2 linked regions of the Struthio camelus genome follow. The protein of the gene in region 1 purifies or fractionates together with the protein of each later gene. This does not show direct contact. Links are inferred from orthologs where the notes say so. Each region holds a gene or a part of one and is shown on either strand. Other genes may lie near its edges. The genes, in order: SLMAP and PDCD10.

The links.
Region 2: the proteins of SLMAP (region 1) and PDCD10 purify together in Homo sapiens (affinity purification with mass spectrometry; 3 studies listed by BioGRID and IntAct, counting the BioPlex papers as one, with this or other methods). This does not show direct contact. The link is inferred for Struthio camelus from reciprocal best matches to the Homo sapiens genes SLMAP and PDCD10.

What each region holds. Positions count from the first base shown.
Region 1 is NC_090955.1:15,299,922-15,310,054, forward strand, and holds the start of SLMAP (sarcolemmal membrane-associated protein), read right to left. Parts: upstream 4,208-10,133; 5' UTR 4,075-4,207; coding exon 3,877-4,074; intron 1-3,876. UniProt on the Homo sapiens protein: Associates with the striatin-interacting phosphatase and kinase (STRIPAK) core complex, forming the extended (SIKE1:SLMAP)STRIPAK complex.
Region 2 is NC_090950.1:28,961,980-28,971,237, forward strand, and holds the start of PDCD10 (programmed cell death protein 10), read left to right. Parts: upstream 1-5,032; 5' UTR 5,033-5,139; exon of another isoform or gene 5,140-5,308; intron 5,309-5,428; exon of another isoform or gene 5,429-5,609; intron 5,610-6,047; exon of another isoform or gene 6,048-6,141; intron 6,142-6,909; exon of another isoform or gene 6,910-7,025; intron 7,026-7,501; exon of another isoform or gene 7,502-7,542; intron 7,543-8,855; exon of another isoform or gene 8,856-9,258. Other genes in the region: SERPINI1 (neuroserpin), read right to left, coding at 4,780-4,815. UniProt on the Homo sapiens protein: Promotes cell proliferation. Modulates apoptotic pathways. Increases mitogen-activated protein kinase activity and STK26 activity. Important for cell migration, and for normal structure and assembly of the Golgi complex.

The sequences.
Region 1 (10,133 bases):
GGAAATCATCAAGCATAGCCTCATTAAATTTCATCTACTATCATACTGACTATTTGTCTTTCAATCTACTGATTAGGGTCTCTAAACTTTCACATGGTTGATTCTGGAACTTCAGTACCCTAGATTACAGTTAAACATGAGTCTCAACTCAGTTCATTTCCATATTGCATTAAATGGAAATGGTAGTATTAGCTACCACCCTAACATGGAAACTTGTGGCTATACAATTTTTTTCCGTCACTAAAAGTGACCAGTCATTTGTAGTCCTTTTGGGAAAAGATAATATTTTATTTCTCACATAATTATGCAGTGCCTTTGGTAAACTGTGATGATGGATTCTTTGTAACAGGTATTTATAAAAGCAATCTACCTAAGGCACTAAACAGCTCAGAGAAATTCCTTTTGGAAAGCCTGAATATCTGCTGGGAACCTCAGGCTTCTACCAAAAACTTCCAGAAGCATTTCAGCCTGGGAGAAGTCGCACACAAATTCTGTTCTTCAATTTACTTATTCTTAAAAAACAAGTTCAGATTTAAGACTATTTCAGTTAAGCACGTTTTAAAGTGTTTTTGCCAATATGCAATGAGAGAAGCTGAACAAATATATCATTTAGATTTTTCTTAAGTGTAGCACGCTTTCTTTTGCTTTGATTCACACTGTCTGGAAGACTTCATGCTCAGCACAACATCCACTTCCTACGTATCTAGTGAGTCACTTTCTCAGATATCCTTAAAAAGATTCATTAATTTGCAATTACTCCAAAAAAACAAAAACAAAACAAAGGAGCACCACACACAATCCTAAGCATAAGCCATTACTGCTATTGCTGTATGAAAAATCCACAAGCAAAAGGAGACATCGCACCATTTTTCTATAAAAATGGTTAAGTGCAGAAAAGGCTCAAAACAGGTATTCCCCACTACCACTTTCTACTTCAGCATACACATTTTCAAGTTTGCTCATTTTGTTAGAAGACATTTTACAAACAAATGCAGCTTTAAATATCTGCTTTTAACTGCTGTTTACTGCTGATCTTGAAGACTTATTTCCTCAATTATTTTTAGTAATAACGGTGTTATATAGACATTAGCTCCTTTGGGCAGGTAGCTTTTGCCATGCACAGTTAAAGTGTCTTTATACAAAGCAAACATTCACATCTTTCAACCACAAATAACATGTCATCTTCAACTCAGTCTGTTTATACAGTTTTCTTCAGCTAAGCTTACCTCTCCCTCACATAATTCGGACACTAGTTCCCTAGCCAATATTTACCAGTGCTCCCTCTCTCCACTTTCTACCCTTCTCCACAGATTATGCTGATACAATTGTTTATGGACTATGTAGTAAACAGGATCACTCACATGATTAACTAGGGGGAAGAAAAAAAACCCACCTCCAAACCCTCAAGAAAAAAAAAAAAAAAACTTACAGCATAACTGAAAAGCAGTTTAAGAGACAGCACAGCACCTGGACAGAGTGACTAGGAATGTAAGAAAACAGTATTTCCGAAGTCCATACATTGTGAAACTATAGCCTTAAATCATTCATAAACTCTTTTGAATTATCTGAAGGTTTCTCTCTGTTACTAAATTAACCTTTCAAGGTCTTTTATCTTCCATAAAAAGCAGAATTGATGAAGTCTTACATTCATGTTTCTGAGAAATGCTTACAAATACTGCGGCAAAAAGAATGTATGCAGGTTTAAATATAGATCATTGATAGGATAACAATATATTCCTAAATGAGATGTGCTTATTTGAAGTTCTGTAAACAGTGATAATATACTTGCCTGCACGCAGATGTTCTTGGCATAATTTTTAGTTTTTTGCTTGTACTTTGAAAATACCATAGAATGTTTTTTAAATACTTTTTGTGATTCGAGAATAAGATTAAGACTATATATACCAACATATCTCCTACCAGCCCTTCCCAATAGCATTTTATATCTACCACCTCCGATAATGTTTTCCCCTCTTCTCCAATTATCACTTTCTCTTCAGAATTTACCACAGGTACTCAATCAGACCCCCCAAAACCTGATTGTATTGCCAAGAAACAGATATACAGTCCAAACTCTTCCTTAAACCTTTTACAGTACTACATCTAACACGTAAAATTTAGAGTAACGCGCTCCTGTGCATCAACCCAAACCCAGTCTTTACTTGATAGCTATAGCCACTGACCTAGATATCCATCTAGGCAATTTTCAAAGACCTCCATCAACTTCTCATCAGACAGAATCTCAAGAGCTATCATATGTTACTGTCTATTTACTACTACCACCTCGCTAATTATGATCACCTAGATAAAATAAACAGGTATATCACTTGTTTGGCCTGTATTAGAAAAAACAAAGCTAACTAAAACTTAAGAACAAAACAGCAGCAACAAAAGAGCTGACTGCTTTTTAAGCTCCTTTGTGAGTTAGCAGACTTGCTCAACACCAAAAAAGCTTTGTCAAATTAAACCATCTTGAATATGGCTAGCCTATTTATAGCCGTAAGTGGGCACTGGAGGGTCTTAATCTTTAAAGATCATGAGAAACGCTGGTAAAGAGCTATACGCACAACATGTTTTAAATTAAAAACAGTATAATAAATCAGAACATGTTAGTTTGTCTGGTCAAATAAAAGATTACAAAGTAACCTTAAAGTGAAAATACCTATATTTAATACACTTAAGTTTTTTCTAAAGTGTCTAACAGAAGAATGTACATTATATACATTAAGAGGCCAAAACAACATTTTTAATGAAACACTTATACGAATAGTAGTTTGCACAATTAAATGCAGGTAACTTGAAAGCCATGCCACAACCCAGCCTTAAGAAATTAAATGCTTGTCTTGTCCCATCATGCCCAGGGATTGCATAACACAGGACAGTTAACACGGAAAGGTTTAAGAACTTTGACTGTATTCTACTGCTCCTTATGCTGTGTCACTCTACTTAAAAAAAAAAAAAAAATGCATTAGGTACAGACCATATTACTCTTAAAAATGAAGAGCTACACTGATCACATTTCATAGAAGGGCATATAGGAGAGGAAAATAAAATTTGGTTTACAGTAACTAAAGTTCTAGGACATAACATCAATATATTTAAAAGACAGTGCTGAACAACTGTAATCTGCACATTGTTCATTTCTAGTTGGAAATTTAAAATTAACTTGACAGCGGTTAAGTAAAATGACTTTACTTGTCCCAGTTCAATCCCTAGCGGACAAAATATGAACTACAGAGCCCCTAAATTTCACTTAACGTGATAGCTACTGTCTTTCTGAGAAAGGGTAATAGGTTAAGACAGTAGAGAGTGTATTTTAATACATTTTCGCTGTCAATGATATAGCAACTTGCACGTCATTTGTCGGACTCCTGCTGCCAGAGAGAAACTGTCAGACCAAAATAACAGAATACTTGTTCTAAAATTGAAAACAGGCCAAGTAGGAAGAGTGCCACGCAACATCAGGTGTTTTTTTTTTTAATTGGCTTTTTGACAGCTCCTCACAATGAGATTTATTTACATACTCAGATAAAAAATAGGGATTTCTCAGCATTTGAAAAATACTCTTTTATGATTTTATCTAAGCCTAAGCTTTCAGATTTGGAATTATTACTCACCTTGAAAACCACATCCTTCCAGCAATGAACAAGAACGCAAATTTTTCAACCCTCACCACCTTCTTTGACCATTATTTTATGTTTTTAAAATAATATTTAAAGCTTAATACAAAATTATCAACTTACCTGCTGAGAATCACTCCAGCTCTTATACAAATCTTATTGCTTCCACCTGCAACCATATCTATTACAGGGAAACTAAAGTGATCTGTAATATTGCTAAAAACGTACTTTTAATTGAAGAAAACAAACATCTCACCTTGCCTGTCTTGTGGTCAAACCAGACAAGAGCATGGTTCCTGGACAGCACCTTACAGTCAAAAGTTGCGTTATTCTGAGCTGGCCGGCAGCGAGCCACAGAGCGGCCAATCTTGACAGGCTCGTCCAGGTAGACATGACGCTCCTGAAACGGATGTGAGTTCGGGCGGCAAGTGAAGATGGCCAAGGCTGAAGGCATCGAGGACAGATTGGGGTTGCCACACCAACCAGAGATGAAGAGAACCTCTTCTGATGCAGACTGTCCTCCACAATTTTTAACCCAAACCTCCACAGCAACTTTACATTAAAGCGGAACAAACATTATTGTACAGGAGAGGCCTAACAACTCATTCGTTCAGTGTGTAAACTAATTCTGGCAATAATCCAGTGAAAAAGCCCCATTATGTCTTTTAATAATAGCAGTGGCCCAGAAAAAGTCTGAAATGCACAACTTTCAATCCATCCTCCTCTGGAAGAACAGGAACAAGCATCTGATACCTTCAAAGAGAAGCAAAGGCTCCTTGAAAGAAGGCTAGGATGTCTTAAATCCAACTAGATGAGTCATACAAATACTTTTGTTTGGGATCTCAACTGCCTTCTTTTTTCCCCCTTCCGTAAACAACACTGACCAAAATCCTGACCTATGCAGCATGGAAGCAAGGAAAGGTTTAGGGAAGAGGGAAAAGGGAGAAGGATTAGCGTCCTGTCTCAAAGCGCACAGATGAGGAGTTGGAAGGTGAATACGAAGCCCTCGCTCCGCAACAAGGATCTAGGTGTTTCACGTAGCAATCCACACTTCATCATCTTCATATTTTAAAACAAAGCAAAAGAGGTGGTCCTCGATTAAGGATGGGGCCACGAGAGCAGGAGAGCCACGCCGTTTTCCTCCCCTGCGCCAGATAAAGCTGAACCGGTCTACAGTTTCAGGCAGCCACTCTGATAAGGAACTTGATAAGGCATGGAGAGGGCTTCAAACTCCCCTCTCGGGGACAGACGCGAGCGTGGGAAGGGTCCTTCGGGGACCGCCTGCGAGGGAGACTGACAGGTTGCTTCCCGGCGCTGCCTGCGACGACTCCGGCTGGCAGAAGCGGGGGAAGCGTCTCTCGGCGGCGGCTCTCCTCGCGGCGGGCGGCGGCGCGGGGGCCGGCGGAGGAGGGCGGCGAGCCGGGGGGGGGGGGGGGGGCTGCTCCAGGAAGTCTCGGCCAGAAGCCCCCCGGGCGCGGGGAGCGGCGGGCCGGGGGAGGCGGCGTCCGCTCCGCTCAGCCCAGCCCAGCCCAGCCCAGCCCCGCCGCAGGTGGCTGCGCACGGGGGGCCCCGCGCGCGGCGCCCGCCGAGCGGCGCTCCGCTGGCCCGGCGGCGGCCGGCCCTGCCGCGGCGGGAGAGGCCTGGAGGCCGGGCCCGGACGCCGCCCGCTCGGTAGCTCGCCCTCTCAGGCAGCCGCCGGCCACGAAAACTTTCCTCCGACCTGTAAAGCCGAAAACAAACGGGGTCAGGCTCGGCCCTCGCGCGGCGCGGCCGCCCGCACCCCCCCTCCCCCCAGCCTACGGTGCCGGCCCTGAGGGAGGCAGGGGGCAGGCCAGGGCTCGGCTCCCTCCCTTACCTTCAGCGCAGCGGCCGCCATAGTGACTGGAAACCTACCCGGTGTAGCAGCCGCGGCGCGGCGCGGCGCGGGCGGGCGGAGAGAGGGGCGGGGGTCGGGGGGGGGAGGGCAGGCGGTGGCGGAGGGAGGAGCCGTCCTCGGCGGGGCCTGACCAAAGGGAAGGCGCGGCGGCCGCCCCCAAGCGCTGCGCGGGCGGGCGGGCTGCGCAGGCGCAGGCGAGGGCGCGGAGGGCTGCGCAGGCGCACTGCGCGCCGTGAAGCCGCCGCGGTGGCGTCGGCCCCGCCTACGTTGCTGCCGCCGCCGCCCGCTTCCGGGTGCGCGGGGAAGGGTGGGGGAGGGGTGGTGCGGGGGGGGGCGGTTGGGGCGGGGGGAGGGGGGAGGGGAGCGGGAGGCTGCAGGTGTGAGGGGGAAGCGGGCGGGCGGGTTTCCTGTGAGGGGGGAGAGGGGCTGCTGCTGCTGCGAGGGGCGGCAGCGGGGACGCGCTAACAGGTGGGAGCAGGGGCAGGTGGCTGAGGTGAGTGAGGCTGCGGGGCCGGGCGCCTCGCCGGACGGGGCGGGTGAGCGGGCGCCGTCAGGCAGCGGGGCTGCGCCTTGGCAGCGGATCCCTCCGTAAGGCAAGGACCTCGCTGAAACCTTCCTGCTGCTTCAGTGGTGTGGGTGCCCTTGAGCAGGAGATTTTGGAATTCGCAGTGGCTTTTGACGTCCTTTGGGGAGGGAGAAGTACAGCCTGTGTTTTGCTGTCTCAGTCCAGTTACAGTGTGGCCGTTGGGGGGGGGGGAGAACCTCGAAGCGGTAACTGCAGGCACGGAGAGGTCGGGGGAGGACAGAGAGATGGAGGTCACCGGTGCAGTGTTTTCCCTCCGTAGGTCTCGGAGCATCACACAAGATCCCATTTTTCCCCATTTTGCAGAGACCGAGGCAGGGTTGCTGTTTTTTCAAGGTCATACAGTAGGTTAGTGCGGAACAGGTCTCTCAAGTCCGAATTCATTTATGAGTCAGTCAGTCCCTATAAAGCAAACAAGCAGAGATTGTTTGATATAAGACTCATGCTGGAGTTGTGCCAGCACCTATAATTACCCCATGACAAGGTGTTGGGATTAGAGAGATGAGGGGGTTGCGTGATGCCAGAAAGGCCAGACAGCCGTGGAGGAGAGAAGAGGAGCTGGGCCAGGTAGTTTAACTGGCAATAGATGAGGGAAATGGGCAACAAGCAGGGTGAGGCAGTGCAGCGTATGAGAGGAAGAATGATTACATTAGTCACAGCCCAGTAACGTCTCAAGGTCTGCTGTTTTCTCCCTTTTTCTGCCTGTACTGTGATGCGGTATCTTTGATTCATTACAGCCTAGTTTTGTACTCTTCCGATGATCCAATGAAAGAAAGACAACAAAAGCAGGCTAACATCTGTATCTGAGGCAAAGAAGTGAAATCCAATATGAGATTGTTCAATTTTTGAAGACAAAAAGAGAAAGACTAGTACATGGAAGCTGTGTGGCAACGTGTCAGTAGTTTTCAGGTCTCCAGACAGGAGTAAAATATGTATCTGACACGCCGCCTTCACAGCTTTCATCAGCTTGTTTGTACTATTTTAATATTGTGATTAATATTCCTAATTTACTCATATTTTAAAGAATTGGGAATCTGTATGTGCATTGATTTTAGCATACAGGGTGCCATAATGAATCAGAAGGGAGGAGGAAAGAAGTATAAAAAGAGGTTAGGGAAATTTAAGTCCAACAGGAGTTAGATTTGAGGGAAATAGTTGGAAAAGTAGAAATAATTCAGAACATTTTGAAATTGAAAAGGAGTAGAAAGAAAAAGGGAGGAAAGGGTCCTGCAGATGTTGGAATGAAAAGAACGTTTATGAGATAGCATTTCTTACATGTTTGTAGGGATGTTTAATGGAGAAAGCAGTTTAAAAGTCAACTCAAACATGAAGACCCATTAGCATTTGCAGAGTCTAGGAGAACTGAGAGAAGTAAAAGTCACAGAAAGAAAAGAAAAACAACCAAGTAGTGGGTATCTTTTACTGAGGTTCACTGTAGGTATTTATAATTTTTAAATATTTTTATTAACCAGACTTAAATTAGGTACTATATTTCCTCTACAATATCTTTTTCAAATAAGCCATCCTGTCGGCAGTGGAACTAACCAACTAATACGCTTAGTGTCTGTGTCCTTAGTAAACTATTAACCACTGGTATATTATGGTATTCTGAACTCTCCTCCATCCTTTACAACAGTCCCATGGGGGATGCAATGGCACATGCCAGCTGTCTTTCTAATGCTTGTTGGCACACTGACAAGTGGCTCATGTAACAAGAGAGTTCTACCTACTTTTCAGTAGGGGCACTAATTTGAGCCTTCCTTTTCTGTACAAGTGCCAGCTTTCACAGAAGTTGGGTGGATTCAGTTATATTTCAGAATTTTTACTATTTCAAATTGGCAAACGAGTTCAAAAGTTATTAGAGGTAGACTCCAACAAAGTTAAAAATATAGCAGGTGATTGCATTCTGAATTGAGGATACAAACTCTTACGGGTTTTTTTTGAGGTATCTGATACTTATCAGAAAGTCAGTGTCTTTGAATGGAGGAAAGGAACAGGTGGATGCGAGGAGTTCGGTTTAAAATGATCAGCCACTGTAGGTTGATCAGCAGGAGGAAGGGCTTGTAAGCACATGCTTCAGTTCTGCAAACCACTGTTTGCCACACAACCAAAAGAGGCAGTCAGCTTTGACAGCCATATTAGGTAAGGGCAGCAAGATGCCACTTAGGTGGCCATCCTTTTTCAGGGCAGGAAGTCCATAATAGTGTTATGATAGCCATCATAGCTGAGGGCAGAAGGGGCCCACTCTGTGTCCATCTTGGATAAGGGAAATGGAAGGGAGGGCACTACCACGTTTGTCTCTTAAAGAAGTGGTGCCTATTTAAGGATGATGAAATACAGAAGTGGTAGTGTTCATGTGCATGCCTGCCAAACAGCTGGACTTTGGTTTGAGTGTGTCAAGGTGCAGGAGAGATTCGTCAGTCCTAATAACTTACTGAAAATAGAAAGATCTTTTACTTCAGGAATCCTATTGTGAATTCCGAATTCACTTAACTGCCTAGGGAAAAGCAGAGCATCATTATGGGTCACTCAACGACAAATCTCTGAATACTGTGCAGTGATGATCTAAAAGGTTACCGAAATATCAATATATATGAGCTCAAGATTGTCAGTGGGGAGGGGTTGTGAACCAATTGCTTAGTGGGAGATTCTGACTCAAGAGAGTTTGCTAGATTTGGAATGGAATGATGCATGCTGTATAGAAAAAGTTTAGTTTGGAGTATAAAAAGTAAGATCCAAACTGAAATGAAAACAGAATAAACAGCTAAATTGTAAAGAGAAAGTTGGAGATGCACAGTCTTATACTGAGTTTGCATCCTTGAAACTCATCAGCAATTTATTACTTTAACTTCTCACTGATTTCCAGAAATTCAGCAAATTGTGTGTGCAACTACACTGTTTGAAGCAATACTAAATTTTGAAAAGTGCCTATAAAGGAATCTGCTTCTACATAGGTGAGTCTGGAAATACACAGCAAAGTTGGAAACTGAACTGGTATCTACATCCTATTGTATTATCTTTTGCAAGATGAACTTGCCTCAGAAATTGCTGCTGAGACACCCACAACCAAGCTGAACTGTCAAAATGTAAGGATTTTTTTCAGAGCAATAGGCTTATTTTCCTTTGAACTACGAATGTGTCAATTTGCGTGTTCACACTACAAAAACATTTTGGTTCACAGCAATCGCTTCCTGTCCACTAGAGGGCTAGGGGGAGGACTAGCTGCATGCCATCTCAGACGAACAATATTTTTACAGTGTCTGCTGTTGCTTTTGAGTTGCAACTACTGAAAAAGTAATGACTTTGAAGGACTACTTTTGCTACTTAAGAAAAAAGTTAAACAAAGAGTGACAAGATGTGGTCAGTCATTCTCTCTGCAATTTGTTGAAATATTCTGGTTGCAATTCTTGATAAAATTCACAATACTCTGTGCATGCGTAATAGTTCATATCTTTGGACAGTCACAGGAATAAATGGTGTAGATGCGGAGTATCTCAGGGCAGCAACAATCCAATCTGAATTTTCAGATACCTGTTTGTTCTAGGAGCTGCTGAATACATACACATTCTACAAACACGATCTCCAGCAGTTTATTTCTCTCTGCGTTGCTGTATCATGAGAAATAAACGGAGCAAGAATGCATCCTCAGAATGATGATCATTACTGGAAAATAACAACAGGTATTTGCTAATAGGCTATTCACTAGTTTCATGATCAGTGTTGAAAAAGAGACAAATTATCCTAGATAAACAGACTGTAGAAAATAAGCCTGTGCAGCATCCAAGAGCTGATTTATAATGCATGTTTAACTACAGACTTTGCTACACAGCTTTTGAACTACTGCATCTAAACTACTTTTGCAAAAGATTCCATACGGATATAAACATTGGTCCGTGAGTGGAAAGGGTCTGGCTGTTTCCAGTGGCAGTAAAATCCTTCCTATAAGCTCACCGAGCTCCTCCTTAAAACTTATTAAGACTTTAGTCTCTGCTACTCTTGTTGGAAAACTTTTTTTCAAAATGTTACTTCTCTGGAGATTAGAAAATCTATTTAG
Region 2 (9,258 bases), on another chromosome or scaffold:
CGTGATTTTACATGATTTTCCTAAGATAAGCAAGTTCTATTCATGAATGGGAAGCTATTCAGAACTATTAAATTGCATTAGGTGAATGATTACTAAGAGGAAAATAGAATCTACATTCTTCATTTTCAATTGTGTTAATATCTACAGGGGAAAGGAAATGTATTTTTTCTGTCAAGTCAATCATTTAAAAATTAGAAAGTATTTCTTCTCCTCCTGTAGGAATGCATGTGACAAACTATTTCCACCCAACCTCCATGAACCTTTCTTTATCAAGTACACAGGACTAACAGTACGCAAAAGACACAAAGCAAACAAGAATTTGAAGTATTTTTCCAACTTTAACTACTCTGGTCTTTTCCATGTATTTCAGGGAAAAATACAAAGTTATAAACAGCCAGTTGTGAACAATGATAAGATATGTACTTCCCTACCATCCATAAATTATGCTGACATGTAACCACCTCTATTTACTGTAGAGATATACAACTGTATATAAAATAAAGAAAGCTTGGCATTAATTATTAAATCCATGTTTACACACTAATTTCTAATTATTTTGGCCATATAGCATCATGAAGATGAGGGCAGCCTAAACACTGACCATAGGACAGAGGTACTTGATAATAATTCATATTCACTAGGTATTTTATAAAGACAGAATAATATATTGCCTACACAGAACATGGACTCTTAGAAATTACTTTAAAAGGTGTTCAACCATGTCAAAAGTACATCTTCATAGATGAAGAGCAACCACAGAGCAAACTTGAAATTGAGAAAAAACAAGAAAGTAATTTTCCAGCAACCTATCTAAAGAGCCAAGACTAGCTAGATTTTAGATCTTAATGTGAAAAATGCTACTAGCACTAACTGTTCTCCATTACGTTCTGCAAGACAACAATAGAAGTGGAATTAAGCTACATGTAAGCCCATGACATTTGTATCTATAGAATAAATTTAGAAAAAGGCTGCAATGCTTTAACATTCACTTTTTTAATAAGTCAGCTGACCAAAAAAAAACCAAAACCAAAATAAAAAACCCCAAAGCATGCTTAACAACTTAGCGCACTTCACAGCTCAGAGGTGTGTTAATCCCAGTCATTTCTGGAATCAATCTTTTCATGTGAGCCAGCAGTGTTGTAGCTAAAGCATTTAATAGCCCAGGCACACAAGACTGTGTAGATTAAAAAAGTAGGTAAGTAGCTGGGTGGTGACTTCAAGAATACTGATTTAAAATAAAACAAATAAACTAAACCATCTTGAACTGACTACAGAATGTGAAAACATAGGATGAAGAGACTGTGTGGTCAAGATAACTTTTGGAACTCATGTCTGCATTTAACATAACCTTAACACTGCCACAGACCTTCCCCTTGTGTTCTCCTAGCTGCTTCATGTAATTCCACAGACAAGTGTTAGATCTGTCTTAAACTAGAGGCCCTTAGAGTCAAAACATGTTGAGAACCTCTCCAAATTACAATTCAAAACCAGCCACAGAGGAAGTTTATCCAGTCCCTTGCTTACAGATTCATATACTTGCAATATGAGATTGCTCTGATTGAGCAAAAAACAGATTATAGTGCTCATCAGTTATGTAAGTAGGCCCTTTCCCCTGCAGATATTAAAACAATTGAAAATAAAGAATATAGATTCTATTTTACTCTTGATAATCATTCACCTAACTAGTCCTGAATAGCTTTCCATTCACAGACAGAACTCACTTATCACATGGCAAAGGTAAGATAACCCTTACGGTTTCTTTTTTTTCTCTTAAAAGGAAGATTTGGGTTGCCTTCTGCCTTCCTTACTTCTGTAAGACACATATGCTTGCTATACCTAACTACTCATTACTGAAAATACCCATATATTTGTTATCCAAATCTGATAACCAAAGGTAACATCAAACAAGGGAGATCTTTCTGGGCTTTTATCAGAGAAAAATGATTCAAAAGATTAAACAGCATCTTTCCATCATTACCCTTGCTGTACAGGGGGATTTGAGATCTCTAGTGCACACCCATGCATTTTACAATGCAGCAGAAATTTAAAGACTTCTTCTTGCTGTATCTTTTGATTTTAGGTTTCTTTTAATTCCAATTCTCTCTCTTCCCCCCATCCAACACCATTGAAACCAAACCAAGAAGAGGCAGAAAAAGAACCCACTCCTTCCTAAGCATAAGCAATTGTTTCAAACTTACTTGCTCTCCCCGCTAAGTCTTGAGAGCCCTACTTTCAGCTTTCCATCAAAACACGCAATTCATCTTTTACGCTTTGCCAACTTCAAATTCCCTTTTGGGAGGATATGAAGAAAATAACTTGGAAAAATGTGGTATTCTTAACTTCATCTTGTGTTATGCAAATATTTGTTAGCTACATGTCTTTCTCAAGTTCAGTTACACAGGTGATACTCAAACTACCTTGAATTTTTTTTTCATGAACATTTAGCTACGTAATTTTTTTTCTCCTGTTATTTTCCCCACATGGGTTAGAAAGAACAGAATGAAGAAAGCTGAGCCTTAGGTAAACTACACAGATTTTCAAATATCTAAAAAAGCTATACCCTAGACCATAGAAGTACCAATCTGTTGTGGGGTAAACGTATCTTAAAACTTGCATTATTAAGGTAAGGGATTATTTAATACAATATCTAACCCTAAAGGGGTTAGGTAAAAGGGTAAAACCTCCCTTAAAGAAAAAGGGTAACAACAACCATTCCTTCTCTCTCCCTCGCATCCTAGAGGGTAACTCCTCATCACACTCAAGCAAGCTTACAGCTACAACAGTTCTGAAAATCGTGAAGGAAATGAAAATAGTGAAGTATAAATCTGGTCTAAGACCTCCCTGCTTAAAAAAAATACAGAACTTAGGAAATATAGCTGATAGAGGGAGAGAGATAGTTTAGAATATTCTATTTTAGAAGCTTTGTGGCTTTATTTTAAAACACTGATTTCACAGAAAAGATAAAATGCCATAGACAAGCATAGACAGCATAAAATGCCATAGACAAGCATAAAATGCCATAGACAAGCATAAAATGCCATAGACAAGCATAAAATGCCATAGACAAGCATGTACCTCAATCTATAAGATGACATTTTGGTAAAGTTTCTCATCTAAGCAGGGTGGCATAGTTTTTCATCAAACTAAAGTACTGGTCCTTTCAAAACTGGTAAGATAAAAGACTTGGTGTATCAAAGATAAGAGGCAATTAATGAAACATTTCAAGCATATCATGCAAGTTACAGGACTGATCCTTTAACAGCCAGATATATTAAATATTTGACACACTGATCATACATAGATCTGATTACAACAAGAACTGGTGGGGAAAAGGGAAAAAATTTGTACACACAAGGAAGTGCAATAATCCAGGTGTCCTTCTAAGTGTTCTTGCTTACCTATGTGAAGCGTGTTTTGAATTGTTAACATATGTGGGTATATGTGCATGATATGTACGTTCAGAAAGACAGATGTCAGAAGTCTTCCCACTTTGCCATTTCACTGCTACTAGGAGTCACAGATAATGCTTCTTAAGTTTAATCAGTTGCATACTCATTCACCTGCTTGCATCAGAATTTGGGCCTTGTTAATATTAGGCCACGCTAGCCAGTAATTTAAAAAAAAAGTTTTTGTCCTGACGTATGCAAAATGCAGATACAAACCTAAAACTGAATTACACACTTCAACAATATTAAATTCATTTTAAATACAATTAAAAATTCAAGTCTAAAGCTTTTCAGTAACACAGCTGTTTCTAGCAAATAACGTGCAAGTTTATTTAAATTTCTTAATGGACAAAAAATGAAATACTCTGTATATGGCAGGTATATATACTATGTATATGTTTTATGAGCACTGAAATGCTTTACAATGTTGTTATAAGTAAAAGGGAGGATACCATAAGATAAAGCTGGAACTTCTGCTTTTAGACAAAAAGGATTATTCACAGTCACAAAGTTCATAACAAACAGAGTCATGGGTCAAACGGTCAGGGCACGCAAGCATTTTAACTGAGAAGGGAAAGAGTAGCTGCTGTAAATATCCGTATAAAAGTTTACCCAAAATCTTCATGCGTAATTGGACCTTCCTGGGGACTAGGAGATGGCCAGGTAATTCATTAAAATATATCTTCCAATCTTTTTCCCTGTGATTTCCGACGAAAGGAAAAACCCGTGCCTCAAAGGAGGGAAGCCCGTCAGGACAGGGCTTCAGAAGTACAGCTCTATTCGGGCAGCTACCAGAAGAGCCGCACAGACCTGTACTCTATCACCCCCTCCGGCACGAACGAGTTTTTAAGTACTGCTGCAGCACTTAACCACAGAATCACTGGGAGACAAAGCGCCCGTACCACAATAAAGACGCTGCGAAGGGGAGCTGAGCGTCTCCTCAGAGGCGCGGTTCTCGCCTCCGCCGAGGAGAGCGGACGCGCTCCCGGGCGCCACAGGCGGGTGCAGACGCGCACAACGGATGACTTAACAGCAGCAGGTTTTATATCTATTCCCCCGCCCCCCCCGCACCCCTTTCTCTAACTTCTCCTGCCGGCGGGGAAACACCTTCCTCCCTCACCGCCTCCGTCCCTGCCGCGGCGGGAGGGAAGGCGGCGCGCGATGCCTCCCCTCAGGCGCTAACGGACGGGCTCGCGCGGGGAGCGCCGCTCCCCGCGGCCGTTACCGCCACCGAGCGACGGCGGCGGAGAGCTTCCCACAACCTACGGGACGAAACCACGCTGAGGAAACCTCCCTCCCCAAGCGCTGGCAGGGAAGGGACGAGCACACTCACCGCCCCCGGTACTGCTGCTGCTGCCGCCACAGCCATCCAACCGACACGCCCCCGCCCGCTCACCTGCCAGCGCACCCGCCGCTCCGCCGCGGGCAGTGTCCGCCGCGCCTCGGACACCGCCTGGATATTCTTCCCTACCCCACCCCGCCCCGCCCCGCCCCGCAGAAGCTCCGCCCCCTCCTCCCGCCCCGCGCTCCGATTGGGCGCCCCCTCCAACCTACTCCTCCTCCAGGTCTCCGCCCCCCCCTCCCCTCCCCCCGGGCCGAGCGCCGTGTTGCATTGTGGGACGCGTGGTGGCTGGCGGCGGACTACAAATCCCAGGAGCCTGCGCGGCTGCTGGCTAGTTCCGGGCAACGCCTGGTGTGTGGTAACAGCAGCAGACTCTTCCTTCTCGCAGGCACTTCCGGCGCGGCGACGAAGCCCACTCAGGAGCGCTGGGGGCTCGGCGGGGCGGGGGGGGGGACGGTAAGGTGCCGGGTTGCTGTTGGCGCGTGCCCGCGGGGTCTCGCGCGCGCTGCGGGAGGGCCAGGTTTGGGGTCTGTGTGTGTGTGGGGGGGGGGTCGTTAGTGTGTTTGCGTAGGGCCTCGTTCTCCTTTCCAGGCTGCGCTCCGCTAGGAGCGTAAAACGCCTTCGAGCATTGGGGCCTGGCTGAGGGGCGCGGGGGGGGCGGCCGAGCGGCGGGGGCCGCCGGCAGCGCCGCCCTGAGGTGAGCGCGGGGCGGGCGGACGGGCGGGCCTCGCCGTGCGGCGCGGAGTGAGGGAGGCGCCCCCCCTCTCGTCCCTTCCCCTCGCCTCCCCGCCCGGCCGCGGGGGTCTGGCCCGGGCAGGCAGGTGACCGGTTTCCCCTTGGTCTGAGGCCTGGTGCAGGCTCCTACTTCTCGCCGCACTTCCCTCTCCCGCGGCCTTCCAGGGCCCTCCCGTGCTGCGGCGGGAGCCGGAGGGGGGGTGCCCGCCGCCAGCCCCCCCCCCCCCCCGGTCCGGCAGCCGTCTTCGGCAGGACGCCCGGGCCTGGCAGAGGCAGGCCCGGATGTGTATTTTTAGCTCGTCCTAACGCTTGCGAGGAGCATTGTCAGGTGGCTTGGCCCCGCTGCGGAGCGGGAGCGCTCCGGCGGTGCGGGCAGGGTTTCGCTAGGCGGGGGGGGGGGTGGGAGGAAAAGCGTTTCTCTTCCTCCTCCCCCCCCCCCCCAAAAAAAAAAAAACACTGTAAAAGGGGCAGCTCTGCGGCTGCCCTGCTCGAAGCCAAACGTGACCGTGCCCGGCAGCCCGGGCTCAGCTGGCCGGCAGCGCTGTGCGGGGCTGCTGCAACAACAGTCTGGAGGGACAGTGAACGCTGAAGGATCCCTCTAAACTGCTCATTTAACTGGTGACTTGGCTTGGTGCCCGCAGCTTACAGGTGTTGGGGGTGCGGGTAGATGGCTGAAACCTTGGGCCAGGTTTTGTGTTTTTGCTGTATCAGAGGAAGTAGTTGCCTTCTGTTATTCATTTACTTGTTGGAACATGTTTGTGTGTTTGAAAGTGGTTTTGGTTGTATCTAGTTTCTTGGAGTATTTGATAAAAGAGTAGAGACAGAAATATTATGTTTACCTTCAAGTTCCCAAAGGGGAGGTGGGGAAGAGCTTGAAAGAGAAGCTGACATACGTTGTTTCCATTATGTATCCTAAGAGTCGTGACCTGTGTCAGTTATAATATTTTTAATTTAGGTAACTAATGAAATTGGGGTGCAGTCCAGGAGGCTATTCTTGTTCCTCCTGTGGCAAGCACAAAAAGTAGATATGTTAGGAAAACTAAACCATTCTCACTTTGAAGTTCAGCATTGCAGAAGAATGTGAATTAATTGTAAGAGTGATTTCAGAATAAGTTTATATTAAGATTTTTTTTAAAGTTGATCTAGCAGTAGACTAGTTGGGTTTATTGTGAATTGCTTGTGTGACTTCTGAATCACTCATAAGAATCGCGGTAATATAATGCATAAGCAGTTAAACTTGAGTTCACTCTGACAAAGCATAAGTGGCTATAGTGTATTTCAGCGAGTGTTTGGAAACTGCAAATCTCTTCAGTAGAATGTGTTTTAAAGAGCCTTTTAAAACTTGAGTGCTATCTTTTGATGATACTCTTTCTGTTATCTTTTCAGGGAAACTACTGGATATACAAATTAGAATGTGGAACTATTGCAGCAGAGTGCCTTTTTAACTTTCATGTTTTTTCTACTGGTTTTTGGAATACAGAAGTTGTCATCCTAGTTGAACTGTATGTTAATTCCAGTGAATGGTCTGAAAGTGAATGTTGAAACTTAAATTTTGAAATCGCTTCTAATTTTTAAAATCAAGCCTATTGGGCATAATGTTTTGTGCTATTCAATCTCTCTTATATAATTCAGTATTTCTTGGTGTAATATCAGGTTTTTGTAGGTCCCAGACAATACTGGAAAACATACTTGCAACACTAAGCATTTCGGAGGAGGGAGGAGGAAAGATCACAGTGGCAGAAAAGTGAACAAAATGAACTTTAAAAACAGTGCAGAAATACTACACTGAGATTTTTTTCATGTGTTGCTACCACTTTCAGACAGCACAGTGGAGACGATTTGTAATGCTCAGACTTGGCTTTTCAGTCCTCATCCCTCTTCCTGCCCCCAATACACACGTTAACCTTTTTCTCCTTACTTGCCTCATTGCAAGGAAAAAATCTTCACGTTTTTTTCCTTTTTTCCTCCCTTTCTCCAGGTGGCTAGCGTGCTGCACAGGGAATGAAAGTAGAGCTAAAGGTGATGTTTTCTTCAGTGTAAGCCTTTGGTTTCTCTAGTGGTTGCAGTAACTAAAAGTAGAAACCCATGTTTGTCAGCTAGATTCAGCGGTGGGTTTTGGATTTTTTTTTTCCTGTTTGTTTTCAGAGAAGGTGAGGTATTTCTCCGCAATATGTAGAAATAGTTTTTCTTGCTTGCCATTCAGAAAGTTGAAGCCAAGGCCTTCAGAAAGTGAATGACAAGGAATTAACTTCCAAATATCTCAAGCCAGCCAGCCTTACCTTCTTAGTATTCTTATTTAGACAAAGCCTTGTTTGCTTGAAAGATCACCTACTTCAGTGTTTTCTGGCAGTCTTTTTGCAAATGCTTACTGCATCATAAAGTCACTTAAATTTTTGAAAGAAGAAAAGTAGTTCTATATCTTAAGTACAAAGCTTAAAATCTTTGTTCTGTGTGCTTTTAAGTTATACAATGGGAAATGATTACAATCTAATTGAAGTATAGTGCTAGCAGGCAAGTTAATGTCTGAAAAGGAAAAAGTGTTTTTTAACTATTTTGAATGGCCATTAATAAGGGAAGCATAATAAAGCAACCAAACTGTGTGGGGTATGTATACAGTTAAAACAATATACTCTATTCCCTCCTGACTTGTAAATTTGTACTTGCACTTAGTTAATTAAAGAGACTTTCTTTTCGAAGAAATTCTTGACTTTGTGCATGTTGGATTTACAAATACAGGCCAAACTTTTTGTCTCTGTGAATACAGTGTACTATTCCTACTAACTGCTATTCCCCCTGCCCTTTCTTCTTGAGCAGAAATCAAGATTTTTTTTTTGGTAGAATGGGGATTTTTGGAGGGCTTTTTCTTTAACCTGATGTTCTTGAATCCTCACTGCAACAGGTGGAACAGAATTCTGGGCAATAAGGACAGCTTTTACCAACAAAGATAGTCATAATTTTGGTTCTACCCTAGAAGCCCACTATTGAAATAATCAATCTGATTGATTGGGGCTTTCTTAAAAGGAAGATTGTGGTTAGGCATTAATGCCTAGGTGCTTAAGGTTTTCCTGGAGAATGGGATAAAGACAGCATTATACTGGTATAGGTAGGTCTACTGGTGGCAGGATGTCAGTCCTGAGTTATGCCAGTTGATAATGTTTCTGTTATTTAAAAAGGGAAAAAAAAACTTTAGCCTTATAATTCAGAGGCTATGCTCTCTTTAAACGCAATTTCAAAAGCTAGTATTAAACAAACACCTTTCTTATGTTCATAGATATCTCACTGGCTTTTGCACTGGTCAATGAGCAAATGCAAGTTTTGGGAAGATTACTGTAGACTGCGGTGGTATTCTCATTAAGTAGCTCTGTTTTTCTGCTACTTGATTTAGAGCTTGATCAAAAATCTGTCAGTGACAGATTAGAGAAAGCAACCTTTTACTTTGTTTACTATTAACAGTAGTTGTAAAATTCGGGAAGTGGTGTTTGCTATATTGCTATATATTCTTTTTCGCTTACAGGAAGTTTAGCTTAAGGATTTTTTTTTGACACAGTTGAGCAGAATTATTTAAAATGTCTTAGGGTCCCTTGCATCTGTTTTGTTCATTCTCTCTGACTGATTTCATCTGATGTAACATAAAGCATGACTTTTGTTATACCTATTGGCTAACAGCCTATGTTTGAATCTGTGGGACCACTGCAATAAAAATCAGGTTTATATGCAGTTTATATTTGGTAGTCT